Drosophila melanogaster: one gene and its partner. The protein of the gene in region 2 purifies or fractionates together with the protein of the main gene of each other region. This does not show direct contact. Each region holds a gene or a part of one and is shown on either strand. Other genes may lie near its edges. The genes, in order: CG14431 and CG5966.

Region 1 (8,504 bases), 920 kb from region 2:
AACTAAAGCCAAAACTTTTTGTTTGGCTATTTGTTGCTGTTGTAGTCGACTGGCCATCATGGCACGCACGCACTAATAGATGCAAATACATACATTAGAACATCGACAAGCACACAAGTGCACTGAGAGAAATCGGTGTAGATACGGGTAAAGCAAAAGATACCTTACAAGCACTCATGCTCATTTACAAACGTAATATGTTTCATTGTTACATTCTTTATCTTTACATACTCTTGCAAACATAATGTTGTAGCTTGTAGCTTTTTTTTTTCAGTGCACACTCAAACTCTCACAGAGTTGCCGTGTCGCAAGTGAATGGGGAACATGTGTTTGCGCATTTAGTTTCCTTCTCCGCTGGCTCAACGCAACTTGATGAAGTGCAAAAAAAAAATAATAAGGAAAAACACAGGTGAGACAGGTAAAAAAAAAGGGGGGATTATGGGGCCAAAAGTTGAAGCTGACAGCTTTCAAGTGAGCCAGCCACAAAATATTTGGACGACTTAAAGAGCTGAGCTCGATTTAAGTAATCCCAATAAATATGTCGCCAATTTTGGTGAAAGCCCAAGGGGAACGCAAGATTGAGTTGCCTTGCTAAATAGTCGGATTTTCTGCTTGAAAACGATCCATTTTCACTACGATTTAATTAACTAGTTTTCTTTTCGCACAACTTTTCCCCCCAACTAACCGATGAAATAATCTCAAATCAAATGAAGATCTTTAATTTAAGTCCGCAACGAAATTTTAATCAACGTGTAATCTATTGAAATCGCAACTTTTTAATCATATTTACGAACATGAAAGGGGATAAAAGCTCTATCATTTTTGTGCTCTTGTTCATGTTTAGGCAATTTATGGATTTATGCAGAGTATGTTTTTCGCGTTTTTTTTTCCATTTTCTGCTTGTGTATTTTTAGTTCGTGATAATTAAAAGGCAATTTTAATGCTCCGCTGCATTTGCTGGCTGGAAAATGAGTGAGACTTTCGATTTTCGGATTGCAATTTTCCAACAATTTCGCCGTCGACTTTGGCAACAAAAAGGTAATTCAATTAAACCAAAACCTAATATTGTCGATCGATTATTGCAATATTCATTACGAAATGCGCTTCATCAAATATGCATAAATTAGGCCATCCGAATGGCGTTTATAAATGCAGATATATCTGCCAGTTTATGTCAAGTGTCAGAAATGTCGGAATGTTTGACAATTTTGCTTGTCCTCTGTGCGATTTGTTATTTGTTTATTGTTCAATTGAAAATTTTTCAACTGCGAAATATTGCATAATCTCCAGCTATACTTCCTTCAATCCGTTTACGTTTTAATTACAAAATTAATATCAATTATGCCACCTGGCCTCGATGCAAATCTGTAAATCTATTTTGCATAAATGGCCAACTATGTGGCCAAGTTTTCGTTGAAATGGTAGTGCATTTGTGCTCAACAGTTTATCCTTTAAAAGGAATGGTTTGATTTTTGCCAGCAAATTAAGTCATTAATTGGATAAACCATTTGCAGTTATTATAATCTAGTTTCTTGGCATTGCGAATTTGAAACTGGCCAACAGTGTTAATAAAATAGGACTAATTATACGGAATGATATCAAATCTGATAGATGATGGAATATATTTATTGGCAATTGTTAATTTAAATTGCAAACGAGTAGATCAAGTGTTTGTATTGGTCAATCAAATTTCAAGTACCAATAAACAACTAAAAAAGATATTAAATTGTAATTTGAATTGCTTCGCCCAACCCAACGACTTTTCACTTCTTTTTTGCGACTTTTAAGTGATTTTCAAATTTTATCCCTCTTTTTTTTTTTTGACTCGAAATTGACATTTCATTTAATTTGGCAACGACAAAATTTTATTGTCATTTCATTTGATTAAAAATTTCATAATGTGAGCCAGAGTAGCTTTTTTTATTCATTTTTTCCTTGCTGCTGCTGTGGGATATTTTGTCAACACACAATAAAAAAAAAATAATAATAATAAAACAGCAGTCGCGGCTGGGAAAAGTGAAAATCTAAAATTTTTGGCCCGCAGGCGACGAAGCTTTGAGTGCGTTGGTGTGTGTGCGTTTTGGTGTCCTCCGGAAAAGCAGGCAAAAAACGATGAAAATTAATAAAAAATAAAGCAAAAAAAAAGTGAGATAACAAAAAAATGAAATTGTGCCGCAGTATTTGCGTTTGGCGGCATTTTTCCGCTGTTGTCCGTCTCTTTGGCGCGTTTTCACATTTTTCCCCCTCCTCCCCCCCCTTCCAGCCATCACATTTTCCATCGCTTTTCCACCCACCACCTGCAAGTTGTTTTTGTTGTTGGTGGTGGTGCTGCTGCACATGGCGCTCTGCTGATGGCTTCATTCAGTTGCCCAATTCTTTTTTGTTTATCTTTTCAGTCTGTTTCAGCATTTTCACTCGCTTGGTTTGATTTTTGTTTTTACATTTAGATGGAGTTTTAATTAAGAATTTCCATATTAATTCGATTTGGTACAAACAAATAAGGCTATCAGTGAATTTCCAATAATTAGTTTAGAGCAGAGCAAAGTTGGCTACTTATATTCAATGTTTATTTTGCTATCGCACTTTCAACAACCTTTGAACTGCAAGCTGCACATTTCGTTTGACAAGCTCGTGCGATTTTCCATGTAAATAGCCTGCGGGCCATTCTTTTTTTTTGAGTTTTACCAGATTTTTGGCCGCTTCAACAGCTTGTTGACGAGATTCCCCCAAAAGCAGCCATCAGGTTTGCCATCGGCATATCGCTCCGTTTGCCAGATTCCTCGGGCAAGCATTTTTCGCATATTTCGCCCATATTTTCATGTTCGCATTCAAACGAAATCCTTTTGATATTGGCCTAGCCAGCAGCACCACCTTCTTCCTTCTTCCCTACATTTTTTTTATTTTTTATTTTTTTTTTTCACTCTCCCCTCGTCAACGTAATCGTCCTGTGAGCGCCATGGCTACCACCGGGTCCTTCGGAAAGCTTAACGATTTCATTAACAAGGACACACAATGGCAGCTGATTGTTGTCGTGCTGCTGCTGCTGTCACAAATTTCACTGGCAATTAGCAGAAAACCGAAAAACGCACAAAAAAGCAAAAAAAAGCAAAAAAAAAACAGCAACAGCAAAAATTACTAAACAAAAATGAAACGCTTAACCGGTTTAATTAGGGGCGCCCAAACTGGAGATGAAGAAAAGCGAAGGCCGAGCATCCACAGCAAATTGTTTTCATTTTTCCCCTCACAACAGCAACAGCAATAACCAAACAGCAAGCTGGCAAATTGGCAAACTCGTCACGCCGGCACAAGAAAATCAAACAAAACACCAACAGAAACTTTCGCTAAAAATAAATACAACGAAACATACAAAAAAAAATGGTAAGAAAAAAATTAAAAATAAAATAGTAAGGCAACACGAACCAGTCACACACGCCGTCCAGTTGAACAAATGTTGCAAGTTTCCATCGGTTGCAATAAATATCGCAGCTCGTTATTGAAAGACCAACAATAACGAAACACTTTGCTTGCCACAAAATGTTCCGTTTAGGTTGCTTATGATTTTTCATAGAATTAATACTGAAGAAATATTGCGATTCTCGCTGCTTACTATAATTCTGCAAAAGTGGCGGATTTCCATCGGTTGCAACATATGAAGCAGGTTGTTATTGAAAGCACATCTTTCAAAAGAAATATTAGCAAATCTATGACAGCTTGTTTGCTGACAAATCAGTAGATCAGTAAATATGTTAGAAAAGTACAAAAAAGGATAAAGTAATAATAACACATTTAAACCATGTGCATAAAAAGTTGTGGGCTTAAAAATACGTAGTATTCTATTGACATATTAAGAAACATACCGAACGTATTCTATGCAGTTGCAATTTGCTTCGCTTGCAATTATTGTTGAAACTGGTAACTAGCTCTTTTTTGGGAAGTCCATCTAATGCTGCAGCTTTGAAAACGAATTTCTGTTTTCAATTTCAAAAGAAGTCCAGCAAATGCTGCACGTTGGCTTGGCTGTTCTTTTGGACGCTGACTTAATGCTCATGCACCACACAACACAGCAACAAAAAACAAATAAACAAATGGTCGGGCACGTGACAATGCAACACAAACGAAAACCAAAACAAAACACTCAACAGTCGCCCGGTCCTTCGAATCGATTTGAGAAAAACGCGCGCGGAAAACTCAAAGTTCGAGACTCAAACTCAAAACCGCTTGTGGCCCAAAGTCAAAGTCAAAAAAACACGCAATTTATGTTGCTAGTTGCTGCTGGCTGTGGCACGTTGCTGGCTATTGCAAGTTGCAAGTTGCTATTGCTGTTTGCCGCCCGAGAGACACGAGACACACACGGTGAGCGCTCGCTTGCAACTGAAGTTGCCGTCTGATAATGCCGCCTGTGTTTCCCGACTTGCCGAGCGCCATTTCCCGAAGCCGAGCTCCATTTGCCGAAGCGCCGAACTGCGGCACGAGGCGGCACGCACAGTCGTCTTGCCACTTTTCCTCGCTTTTCGTCGTCTTCATCGACAGCGGCGATGCAGCAGCGTCTGCATTTTCCCCTTTTGGGCGTGTGGTGAAAACTTGCGCCAAAATATGACCAAGCCGGTGCCGCCATTCACTCCTCACCATTGCCCACTTTTTCCAAAAAACCAAGCCACCCAACGTCAAACAGCCTTGAAGGCAAAGTGATGTTTTCGAAGCGGCTCAAATGATTGCCGCCATTTCCCCGTTTCGCGCATCTTTTTGGCCGAAAAGTTTGAGGGCATTGCAAATGAACTACAGACATACATATATGCAAAATATTGCCATAGTCCGGAGAATAAACTCTTGAAATAATGTACTTACTATATATGGATATGTTCATCGGTGAAAGCAGCTTGTGATTGTAAAATGAAAAACAATGCAGACATGACGACACTTCGCTGAAAGTCAAAAACCAAAGTGTTGTAACTTTTTTTAACATTGCCGCGAGGAGCTGGCAACCTGTCCGATAGACGCTGACAGGGCTGCCAACCTGGTCTTGCCCGCAAAGTGCTGACAGCCAGCCAACAAGAGGGCAAGTTATTATCGGTAAGTAAGCTGGGTTCCGCTGGCAATTTCGACAACTTGTCCTCATCCATTCACGGTCAGCTTAGGACGCGCACCTTTTTCGGGATTTCGGTGTTTTGCTCTCCGTTTGCTGTGTCTGTTTTGGGTTCAGGCGGAGATTGTGACCGAGACTATGGAGACTGGGGGGAGACCCGAGATGCCACAAATCCAGACGCCCCCGAGAACTCTAAGCCAATTCAAGGACACGCGGACAGAGGACACGCGGCCAAAAAGCCAAAAACAGCCATACAACCAAACCAGATGAGGCCAGACACCCACTAAACACACACACACAAGGAAAACGTGAATCCAGTGACTGGTGGAAAGGAGTCACAAATCCGGGGGACAGATAAGAGTCTCCGACGGCATTTGGTAGCCGGATTTTTAGGGGTCACTTTGGTACCATGTTGGGTGCACTTTTATCCGTCCTGCCGCTGGATCCTCTTTATTTTCCTCGGCTTCCTTGTCGCTCTCAATTTCGTGCACTTGTTCCGCCCGTCTTCATTGCCAGCCAGCTCTTCGATGGGAAACGCCGTGCTTTTCACCTCCTTTTACCCAGACCCAAATCTTTGACAAATGTAAACAGTCGTCGTCGTATAGCCGGTGGGTTAGGCAGTGCACTGAAAAAAAAGTAAGATATCAAGTAAGATATCACTTAAAGAACTGTGAAAATGCTTTTGTTTAATATTAGATAAATATTTAATTATAATATATATTTACAATTTTGTTGTTAGTTCCGTTTCAAAGTTTTACGCGCAAGCAACTATTGCATTTGCATACCCAATTTCGCTCAGTGCTTTTTCGCAGGCAATGCGGGCTGTGCTTTTCCCTGCTGTTTTCCCTTTGGCTCACACTCGCTTTTCCTTGATTGTGTTCGGTCGGTGTTTTATTTTCCCCCGGTTGCAACTTTAGATTAGAGTTAATCAGCTTAGCGTGTCAGTTTGACTATTAGGTGCTATGTTTTCGTTCGTCAAAGGATTTGATGCAGGATGGGTCAACTGGCAGGTGGTGGTGTTAATTATGATTTGCGCCAACCAACGCCAGCAAACAAACAGCAGGATGCCAGCTTTCGGAATTTCGCGCACACATATCCACAATTAATATACGTTTATGCCACCAAGCTAATTATTACTATTACTATTTAGGTGAAATGGAAAACATAAACATATACAGACATGGAAGGTCGAAATGAAAATTCATAGTGGTAATATGATTGATTTCCCAAATGAATGACTATCAATTTGAAGCCAGTTTTTTTTTTTTTCGAACTGAAGTTGATTTCTACTAGAAAGTGAGCCTACGCCTCCGATGCTCCACTAACCATTTTCACCAGAAAAACTTGGCTTTCCACGACGAACAGGATTTTCGAGTTGGTCGCCGGGAAAGCAAGCGAACAACAGCTGTTGCAAGTGCAAGTGCAAGTCGCTCATGTCGCTCATGTTGCTCATGTTGCTCATGTTGCATTGATTGCCATTTCGGCATTAGTTTCAATTCATTTCGCTTTGAGTGTGATGGATGGCATCGGCGACAGCAAACGAACGTGGTCCAAAGTCGGGCCATCAATTGTACATTCCGCCGGCTTTTAATGCCAAAACAATTGTTGCTCAAAATATATAAATGTTGTATATCATTGCGACCAGACAATGCAGGAGAAAAACCCGATCAAAAAAAAAAAATCAAATCGAATCGTATCGAAGCGAATTGAATCGAGGCAAAATTGAATTGCAGTCAAGACGACGTAGAGTCGTCGAGTGGAAAGAAGGCCAGAAAATGCGAGCAACTTGAGCAAAATGCTGGAAATGGCCAAGCAATCAGATGGCCATTGTACATTTGTTGTTGTTGGCGGTGGTGGTGCGTCATGGGGGGTTCAATTGTGAAGTTGGGGGTTTTTTTTATTTTTTTTTTTTTGGAAAATCGAGCAGCCTCTCTGTTTCCCCTTGACAAATGTGCCGTTCAAATGCTGTGGACGCCATTTAATTGCCAACATTAATTGGCACACTACGTAGTGGCCACACTCCTTCGATTTGGAACTTCTATAGCTCCTCAGACCGTAGACTCCCCCACTTGTGCCAGCTTTTCCCTAGCTTTTCCCCAGCTTTCCCAACTTTTCCCCGGCGCACCAGCCAAAGCAAAGTGGTCGAACAGATTTTGATGCTTTTATAAATGGCACGTCAAATTGTTGTTCAATGATTTCCAATTGACTTATTGCCGCAGAATTCAATTGAGTCGTCAGTCTCTGGTTTTCCTGCTCTTCACATTTTTTGTTTTTCTTCTTATTTTATTTTTTTTTTTTTTTTGTTTTGTGTTGCTCCGAACTGCATTTTGGGTTCATTTCGAATATTTAAGCCACACAAGTCAGCATTTTATATGGCCACTGATTGGACGAGTCATCGTGACCAAGTGAAAGTCTAAAAGATCACTTGAGCGCCAGGAAGTGGGAAAACAAATGGTGAACACAGGTATTCAAATATTTTTGCTGAGAAAGTTAAACACAAGGTCGAAGCAATTAGATGCTTGTTAAACTCCGACTAAAATCAGCCTGTATTTAAAAATCAAAACATGGCAATTACAGTTGAACAAAAAGGTTTTTTTTTTGGGTTTTTTTTTTTTGTTAAACTATAATTGCCAAACCCTTTCGTAGCGCCATTCAATCGGTTGCCAGGCTGACACAATTTGTGAATAAAAATAATAGCGTGTTTTCAATTAAATCGTCGCACAGCCAACGCGCAATTACCGCTAACATGCCAAAGGATTAGGCGTGTCCTTTGTATCCTTTTTTTAAGCCTGTCTGAGCCAGAAACTACAGGGTAACAAGCTGGCCGTGTGTATTTATACAAATTATAATCCGAGCGATTTACGCGCAGTGAATATTACGGATGACTTCCACTCTACCGATCGCCCAAAAATGCGCAACAATGCGAGCCAAACAGCTAATTAGGATGTATACACCGAGAAAAACAATGCTTAGGATGATATAATTTTCAAAAAAAAATAAATCTATAACTTGGCGAACTTGAATACGTTTAAGTAACACGAAGTTATAGATACTGCAGTTTAAAAATCTTAAACATAAATGACTTATCCCTCTCTTGTTTACTTGTTTATTTCGCTCAGTGCAGCCAGCGAGTACAATAGCCGGCTTTTGGCGTTACGGGTTAAAAATAAAATTGAATTGGTTAAACAAACAAAGGTAGCGAAAGGTATATTTATTAAATTTACACAACATCCGTTGCTGCTGTTAACCATTTCCGTGTCCAAACAAAATGGGAGCAAACACACACGCACACACCGACATACACACACACACACACACATAGGGCGTTACGGTGGGAGAAAGGGGGCGTGGCCCAGGTTGTAGAAGCCCAAAAATATGCAAGCAATAAATTCATGGGAAAAAGAAATGCACACAAACCGAT
Region 2 (9,582 bases):
GAGCCCAAAGGAGGATTGCTCGGCATCACTTTGGCCGGCAGCGAGGATATCACCAAGTCCATTACGATTAGTGGCCTTGTAGAGGGTAAGTCTACATACAAATAATATTATGAATATTTTAAACTAAAACATTTATAATATAACAAACAGGTGGCATTGCTCACAAGAATGGCCAGATCCACGTGGGTGACCAGCTGCTGGCCATCGATGAGCACTCGGTGCAGGGCATGCCCCTTTCACATGCCACCAGTCTGCTGCAGAATCTCGGCGATCTGGTCGACCTGAAGATCCTGCGCAGCCACGATTTGGCCAATGGCAGTCATCTGCCGCAGACGCAGGCCATTTATGCCAAGGTGCAACGGCGTCCCCGGAGTCCGTCGGCGAATACGGAGGCCAGCAAGGAGTCGGGTAGCGGGAATGCCAACGGTGGCGGAGCAGTCAATGGGAATTCGGGCAGTGGAAAGCCCCGGGTGTTTCATGTCACCCTGTACAAGGACAAGGTGTACGATGACTATGGATTCTCGGTATCCGATGGACTGTACGAGCGTGGCGTCTTCATCAACAGGATTCGCAGCGGAGGTCCTGCCGATATGTGCGGCCTACTGAAGCCCTTCGATCGGATCATGCAGGTTGGTCTGAAGTTATGCTTGGTTTTTTTTTTATCATTTTATACATGTATATTGTATTTACCCTCAGGTAAATGAAATGAAGACGCAGGACTTCGATTGCTGTCTTACCGTTCCGCTGATCGCCGCCGCTGGCGATAAAATCGAGATGATCATGCAGCGCTCTGAGTGATGCTTTTGCCCGAGATCCTTATGTTAAACTAGTTGTATGCTAAGCTAATCCTAAGTGCCATTGCTAGCCCATAATATTATATACTACATATATCCCTGTATTCTTTACCGAGCGAAACCTGCACACAAACAAACAGAAAAACCCTTACCGTCAAGGACAATTGGAGCAAAACAGTCTGGCATAACCAAATAATGTCCTCTTTAAGATAGATCTGCCATAATTCTACGTTAATTCTATGCTAAAATTTGTTTTCTAGCAAATAAACAATCGTACCGAAAGTTTGTTCCAAACTAAACAATCAAAACTATGAGTAATTCCATTGCCTTCAAAGATTAGAAAATTTCCAGCCTCTTGTCTATGTTTATACTTGTATGACCTACATTCTTGAAGGTATGCCCAAAATTTTGATTAGCACTTGGCTTAGGGAAACAATATGCTATGATATTTTTCAATGGAAAATATAATTTACTATAAAATTTACTATAAAATTATATTTTAAAGCATAAAGCTTCATTTTCCATAAATCTAAACTCTTTTTGTAATTTCCATGCCTCTTGAACGTTTAACATTCTGCGCGTACTTTATACTTTGTACCCTGTAAAGCTATAGTCCCCCGCCGATCTGGCACTGATCTATGTAAACTATAATCCCCTTGGGGGCTTATGCCATTGAGAGCGATTGCAGCGATTGTTATTCAATATTCTTCATATTCTGCACTGTGTGTTCCGTTTTCAATTAGCCTTTCGGTGTAATCTATACGCCACATGTAATAATTGTTGTAAACAAAATGTTTTTACACTTGCTAGGAACAAGTGGGCGTGGCTGTGACGTTGGACCCGTCGATGGGAAAATATCAAAACAAATAGACACCAGTGTTGATTTGCAATGCATGTGGATTTTTGAACCGGAATCAATTTTCGAAATCAAAGTTCGATGCTTATCGGAAATCGGGGCAATAGCTGCTGAATCTTTACGGAAGTAATACCCTCTGAGTCAGAGACATATCTAAGTATAGATCGTATTAAAAGCTTCGCATTTTTCCAGGGTATTCTGTTGTGTTTTCGAGAAAAGTCGTAAACAAAAACAAGAATAAAGCAGACAGACTTTAGGTCGTGATAACGCTTTTGAAAGGCCGCCTCTTTGACGTCAATGGGCAATATTCGAGATCCTGGTGGAGTGTCAAGCGATCGAAAACCCGACTCGTAAACACCTTCTCCGGACTTTGGACGCCTCGAAAGCGAAACGGCGGGATTCTGCGAAAATTACTGGCCGCTGATAACGTGTGCCAATGGGGAACATAATATACATATGCAAATATATTTAGTGCTAACCAGACATTGACACCACCACCTGTCAGTGGCGGTGGGCTGAGGGACAAGGGCGTGGCAGGGGCCCGTCGATTGACACAGTTTTCATAGAAATTCACTTGGCATGTTACACACAAAACAATTTTCTTCTATTAATAAGCTAGCAAAAAACTAGGTTCGTCATGCTTAAAGATATTCTACAAATATATTGATCTTTAGATATATAACTACTTTTAAAGTAAGCTAAAATAACAATCTTTTAAAATTTAAAGATATATATTGCCAATAATAATGGAATATCCTTAAAAACATGGTTCAAATCGTTAGGATCGTTATGGGTAGTTTATACAAATAAGTATATTTTTTCTCGCCGTGCCGAATGGGTTGTCGAGAACAGCTGCTGATTGCCCAAGGGGGCTGTTCCCCATCCTCTATTTCTGACCCATCATAAGATCCTCCCTTGTGCCGCCCTCTTCCTGTAAGAGATTGCTCAACGCATTCATGGCGGTCACTTTGTTGTCGTCGGCAGAGCGGATCGGCTTCCTTATCAAGAAGGTGCATCCAACAAAGAGCAGCTGGTGTACTTTGCATCTACACTGAGCGAAACGCTCGACTTGTGCACTATCAGCTGCTCAGGGCCTCTTGCTTTCCTCTCTCTCTTTCACACTCTCTGCTGTAAGTCGCGTGCCGAAGCTCATTGGTCAGTGTTGGCTGTCTAGCGAAAATACGACATAACTTCCATAGAAATAATATCTGTAAAAGGAGCGTAGTTATCAACATTTAATGGTATATATAGTGATACTTGAACGGGTTATAGATTTAAAGTATGTTTTTTTTCTGAATAGCCTTCATGGTAATTTCCACGAGATATTCGGCTTCCACCAACTGTTTATTACACTTGACCTTTGAAGTGGTAGACGTATTGTACGCATATGTATATGTCGGGAAATCGGCGGATCGGTCAGCACTATCTTCGATCGGCGGCTTCGGCTGCAGCTTCGGATGCAGCTTTCTGATTTCGGTTACGGTTTCGATTTCTCGCGACGTCTACGTCTTTATAAAAATTGCGTGGGGCGCAGCTGATCCGCTCAGTGGTGCGACGGTTTCCAAGCGACTCAGATCGGCGGAGATATACACGACATATAGCCCAGTCATTGGCGATAGTCAAAATCGAAAGAAACCGAGGGCCGCCAACTAACCTAACAAGCTAACGGCACACTCGAGACGAAAGACAGTCGATAAGATTAACGTCAACTTAATTAAAACTATAGAAAAGAAAAGCCAGGCACCAAACAAAAGGCCGATCGATCAATCGATCGATCCCATCGTAACTCGACTATACAGTCCTAGCCTTAGATAATAGCCAACTCGAGTGGCACTCGTTCAAGTGATTTGTGATTGTGGTTCAGTTAAGAACTGACTAAAGCCCTGGGAAAAAGTGTGTGATTCAAGTTGGGAATTTCCAAGATCCCCAGGATCTAAGGGATCACATTTGGCATCGGAATCGGAATCGGAATCAGATACAGCTGCAGGATGTATGTGGCCAACACGACGGGCGGCCTAATGCTGCAGACCATGTTGTATTTGGCCAACCACACCAGTCGGGCGGCAGTCAACACCCTGGTGGACCTACCACCAGCTCCCAAAAGTGGTAAGTAATTCGAGCCACGAGCCCACTTTTGGCTACCACCGATTGCACCACCCATCGTAACTAGAACATGTCCATCGAAAGTGGCCCAAAAGTATCTGCCACTTGAGCCACAGTGGCGGTCGAAATAGGAGTAGCTAAGGGATTTCTAGTGTTTCAATGAAATGAAATTTTTACAAATATGTAGAACTATTATTCAATAATAAGTTAAAGATTAGAATAAATACAAGATATCCCCACTTTATAGAGTAAGAGAGTAGAGTAATTGGAGCTATTATCTTGGCCGCAGCTGTGTCATTTGGGCCCAGTTAGGGGCAACCTTAAGTGGTTTCTTTTGCTGAGTGTGCTGAGCAAACAGTTTTCGGATCTTTAGTGCTTCGAAATCCAAAGATGCTGAGTGCTGCTCGCATTAGCAAATGGGGAAAGCTCTTTCAAGAAGCCCGCAGCGATTGCGATCACCTGAGTGATGGAGGCACAGGTGGCAACTCGGCGTGCTTCAATTTGATTTGGAAATCAGGGTCCCAAAAGGCTAATGACGCGACTCCGTCCGGTGCGGTTTCATATATGTACATATCGTGCGTACATATATGTAGATATATAATATGTATTCAGTTGTTGGAGGGACGCGGCACACGCCTATCTAATCGAAAACTTCCGATACAAACGGAAAGCCAAAGAAGACCACGATAAAATAGAGACGGCAATCCATGCACCACTGGCCAAATAAATTGAAGTCTTCTGGCCCATATGAAATACTTAATGGAACATTACAGGCATCTGACATCTTGAAAATTGTCTAAGGTTTTTTCATGGATCGTTAGGCTTTTTACCAGACCACAACAGTTCTAATTGAGATTTTGCAAAAGTTTAAAGGAATATTAAAAGAAGGCAGTTACGTTCAGATTAATGGTTTTATAATGCCTATTATAGTTTCATGGATTCAAATTGCCCGAGTAGATTATTTTCAAGATTTTAGCCTCAGTGGTTTTGAATTATAACTATATATAAAACTAGTGATAGTTGGTTATTTGTTGCTAAAATTCCAACCCGCTTATCTCAGTTCAGGTGTTCGCCTGTTGATTTATAGACCAAACATACCACAACAAACCCACTGATTTTCCCCAATCCTCGCCAGACATCAACGAGGTAAAATGCTTCGGAGTGTATGGCTGTTTTCCGATCAATGGACCCTGGAACACGGTGACCCGTTCGATAAATGTGCATCCGCAGAAGCCTTCGGAGATCGAGCCCCATTTCACACTGCACACGCGAAGGGCATTGGATCAGCCCAAGTATCTGGATCTCAATGATCCAGAAAGCGTTCAAGGCATGGGAATGAATCCCAAGGGCAAGATATTCCTGCTTGTCCATGGATACCTGGAGTCCGGTGAAATTCCCTGGATGTGGGACATGGCCAAGGCGCTGCTGGCCCACGAGCCCGAGGGTCGGGCATCCGTGGTCCTCATCGATTGGGGCGGTGGCGCTAGTCCGCCGTATGTCCAGGCGGTTGCCAATATCCGGCTAGTGGGCGCCATCACCGCCCATGTGGTGCACATGCTGTACGAGGAGTTGCGTCTTCCGAATCTGGACAATGTGCACATCATTGGTCACTCACTGGGTGCCCATCTGTCCGGCTATGCCGGCTATCACCTGCAGCACGACTTTGGACTGAAACCGGCCAGGATAACGGGTCTGGATCCGGCTGCTCCTCTCTTCACGGACACCGATCCCATCGTGCGGCTGGACAAGACGGATGCCCACTTCGTGGACATTGTGCACACGGATGCCAATCCCCTGATGAAAGGCGGGCTTGGCATCAATATGCGACTGGGACATGTGGACTTCTTTCCCAACGGTGGTTTCGATAATCCCGGCTGCAACAAGAAGTTCCAGGATGTGGTCAAGAAGAAGACGCTGTTCCTCACCATGCAGGAGTTCCTCGGCTGCAATCACATTCGCAGTCAGCAGTATTTTACGGAAAGCATCGGCTCGCAGTGTCCTTTCCTTGGAATAACCTGTGATTCTTTCGAGGTGGGTATCCTAGGCATTTTTATTGCTAATCAATTGCTCTTTGATTGATTTTTTGAATATTCAAACTTAAAATATGTAATATTGTTTCTTCCTTTTTAGAGCTTTAAGGACACGAAGTGCACCAGTTGCGAGGAGCCGGGCCACACGTGCCTGCGAATGGGCTACCACAGCCAGGAGGATTACCAGGAGCAGGTTGATCTTGGCCAGCTGCAGCAAGGCGACTCACCAGGGGTCTTCTACCTATGGACTGGAGATAGCAAGCCCTTCTGCCGACTGCACTATAGGATAACAGTGCGAGTTTCCGGACACGATGAGAGTACGCTACATGGCGGCGAGGTGGGCATCCTGTCCATTCAGCTGCACGATGCCCTGGTGAAGAAGGCTGGCAAAAATGAGCGAGCCGCCACGGAGATGATGAAGTTCTCCCAGAAGGCAATGTACTTTGAGCCGGGCTATGAATACAAAGCTTTGGTGGCCGGACGGAATCTCCGAGAGCCGGAGTACGCGACTGTTAATTGGGAGTACCCCACCAATATACTGAATCCACTCACATGGCGCATCCTATCCGCGCCGCGTATCTACTTGGAGTACATCCTCATCGAGGCGATGGAGTCCAGCGACCTATACCTAAAGTTATGTCCTCAGCACGAAGGAGCCATTCTCACGGGCGCTGAAAATGTCCTGCGCTCCAGCTATTGCAAGGATTAATATCAACCTGTTTACTTGATAATTTATTGGCTAATTGATGATAATATTATCATTTCAATTAATTGATTAATTATCCACTAAATTCGGAACTGTATGTAAGCTATATCATTACTTAATTAGCTAATTAATTTGTAATTTTGCTCATGTCTAATGATTAATTGGCTAATTAATTAAGAACTCAGCTCACACTTTCTCAGCACCCAATATGATTGCGTAGAAAATCAAAGAAAGCAGTGCAGGTTTGCGTCACCGCTAAGTTGTTTGCACAACCAGAAGTGGCACAGATGCAGATGCGTGTCTGCGCTGTGGGAACAGATCGAAAAAGTGTTCCCAGTTTGACTTTTATAGCAACTCGCTGAGAAGGAACAGTTTGTATTTTATTATAGTATTTTAATAGTTCGAAATACGAAACAATCATCAAACCGTTATTTATTTTATAAAATAATATGTTTCATATACAATATATTTTTTTTTTTGAGTTAAATGTATTTGTAGTCGTAGTGCACTGATGTAGTCTAATTTAATGTAAATAAACATGCAAATATACAAAGGTTTCTGTGTTTATATTGTATACATATATAATTGCACAAGCAAAGCTTAATTTTCAGAAGTAAATCCGATGTGATTTAAATCTTGGTTATTCAAATGAAGACCCATTTCTTGCGCCGAAAGCGCGACTTATAGGTAACCTGAAGTTAGATAATTGTGATAAAAAGGTTAAAGACAACACGACAAGCCCCCAGTTGTGGATCTGCCTGCCATAACTCAAATCAGCTGTGGATTCTAATGAATTATAAACACAAACACGAAACTGTGGAGACGGGGAACATTCCATGACATGGATACCCAGTCTGTGTTGATGTTAATATTTTAAATGCTTATCGGGGCAAATGTATCTATCGCATGCATGTGTATCTTTTACATATAATTGATATTATCTGCATTGATTCGACTCGTTTTCAACTTCGTTCGCTGCTGTCTCGATTTCGGTTTTGGTTTTCGTTTCTGTTTTGTTTTCGTTTGAGTTTCAGTTTAAGTTTCTGTTTCTGCGGCCGGCTCTTTGTTTTATGATCGAACATTTGGACATTCCAACGCTCTCCGGGCAGCCCGAAAGCCTCAGTTGTTACACAGAAAAAAGTTGTGAGGTGTTGTCACACCAAAAATACATAATATTTACATTTTTAGCGGTTTCTTAGTTATTACTTGGTCCAAATTCGGCACACAATTATTAGAGACCATGTTTTGTGCAGCGGAAAATCAGAGCTTTCGATCCAAATCACATTTCGCAGGTTTTTGAAAATTTTAATTTTTTTCAATTTTTTGCATTTTTGGTAAGGGGTAACATCATCAAAATTTGCGAAAAATTGTCAAAATTTGAAGTATAAAGCTTGGTATATCAATCGATTGGAAATTAAGTTACGAGTTCAACGAGGTATGGCATTCCGAATTTGGATAATTCTTCGCGTTTTTATGGTTAAAAATCTGCTAATAATTTTCTAAAAATATGGATGTAAATATATAAGAAAATAAGGGTTTTAATTGTTGTTTTTTGCCTACAACTTGACCAAAATAAGTCTCACAATGAAAAGAGACACTGTTTTGTACAGTGGGCAACCTCAATTTTCGGCCCAAATCACAAACTGCAGACTTTTGAAAAATAAAATTTTTTTACATTTTTTGCATTTTTGGTAAGGGGTACCATCATCAAAATTTGCAAATTTCCAAAAAATGTCAAAAAAATAAAAAATCCCAGATTTAAATGCCAGTCGATGGGGCATTAAAATACGAGTTCGGCGAGGTATGACACTCAATATTTGGATCGATAATTTCATTGTTATGGCCGTTAAACCAATTGTAGAGCAAGCTATAAAGCATAAGTTCCTGAAACTATCCTCAGTGTACTATGGTTTCAGTCTCAACCTCAAAGTGAACCTGGCCCATAAATATGTTGACAGAGACAGAGCGAACGACAGAGGGAGACGGCTGATGATCATGTTGACAATGTTTCGCCGGAGTTCATTTCATTCGTTTCTGGGAATTGAAATTGTTTGAAAACCTTTTCATGTTTTGACTTTCGTCGCTCCACCTGTATCCCCCATCCCCACGATGTGTGCCCACTTATTCCCATGATATGCATTCATTAATAATGTTAATCGATTTGGGATAACCCTTCGATCTTGGCCACCGTATGTCCCGAAAATGTCATCATGGGAATTACGGCCAAGCAAATGGCCAAGTGCCTCCCCTTTTCTCTGTTTGCTGTTTGATATTTTTTGGGCTGACTACTAACTGCAGCTGGAATCCATTAGCCATCCGCCTCTTAATTAGTTCACCTTGGCCTCGGCTTCCTTCTTAGATTTTCCAACTCCTTTGCTGCAGCTCCTTATTTTGTTGTTGTTGTTTTGATTTTCCTCACTTTTTCCCCCGACTTGTGGCATAAATCAGACGAGTGCGCCGGCTGAGGGACATCAAATGGGCCTCGAGCCCAAATCAAAATGTCATAATTTCAACGGGGCCAACATCGGCGACAATACGTCAACATGCCCACCCTATGGATTTTCCAGTTTTTCACCCTTTCCATGGGTCCATGTAGATCCACACCCACCCACTCTGTCATTTCGCCGTTTAATTAGTCGGCCGCGCCGGCGTCGCAAACAAATCACATAATTATGATTGAGCGCAGGCAGCGCCAACTCTTTTTATATATATTTCAAATTTTATTTTCCCCACTTTTTTAGAGGGCAATAAAAGGGGAAATCATCCGGACTTTCCTCCCGCTGTGGCTCATTTTGGGGTTTCCTTTATGGGACGTCAGAGACGCGTGCATAAATATAAATCAGGGCCGGCTCACAGCTGCCGTAATTGAATGCAAATGTCCATCCAAAAATACGATGGCTCTAAAGTGTTTCCCCCCCTGTCGAAAATCTATGTGATATACGTATGCACCCTATAGGCGACAATCTGCTCTAAATTATCACGTGTAGGTGCCGCCGTCGTATTTCCCCGCCGCTTTCCCCGCTTTTCCTGCGCTCCATTGTCTTTGCTGGCGATGCGTGGAAAACTAATTTCCCACTACCATCCCGCTGGCAT

Evidence for each region.
Region 1: the proteins of CG5966 (region 2) and CG14431 purify together in Drosophila melanogaster (affinity purification with mass spectrometry, with the first as the bait; one large-scale study listed by BioGRID). This does not show direct contact.

Annotation. Positions count from the first base shown.
Region 1 is NC_004354.4:6,904,175-6,912,678, reverse strand, and holds the start of CG14431 (uncharacterized protein), read right to left. Parts: upstream 4,403-8,504; 5' UTR 3,858-4,402; intron 1-3,857.
Region 2 is NC_004354.4:5,985,602-5,995,183, forward strand, and holds CG5966 (uncharacterized protein), read left to right. Parts: upstream 1-3,189; 5' UTR 3,190-3,638; coding exon 3,639-3,756; exon of another isoform or gene 3,757-4,888; coding exon 4,889-5,784; intron 5,785-5,883; coding exon 5,884-6,492; 3' UTR 6,493-7,039; downstream 7,040-9,582. Other genes in the region: Grip (glutamate receptor interacting protein), read left to right, coding at 1-85, 151-629, 697-798.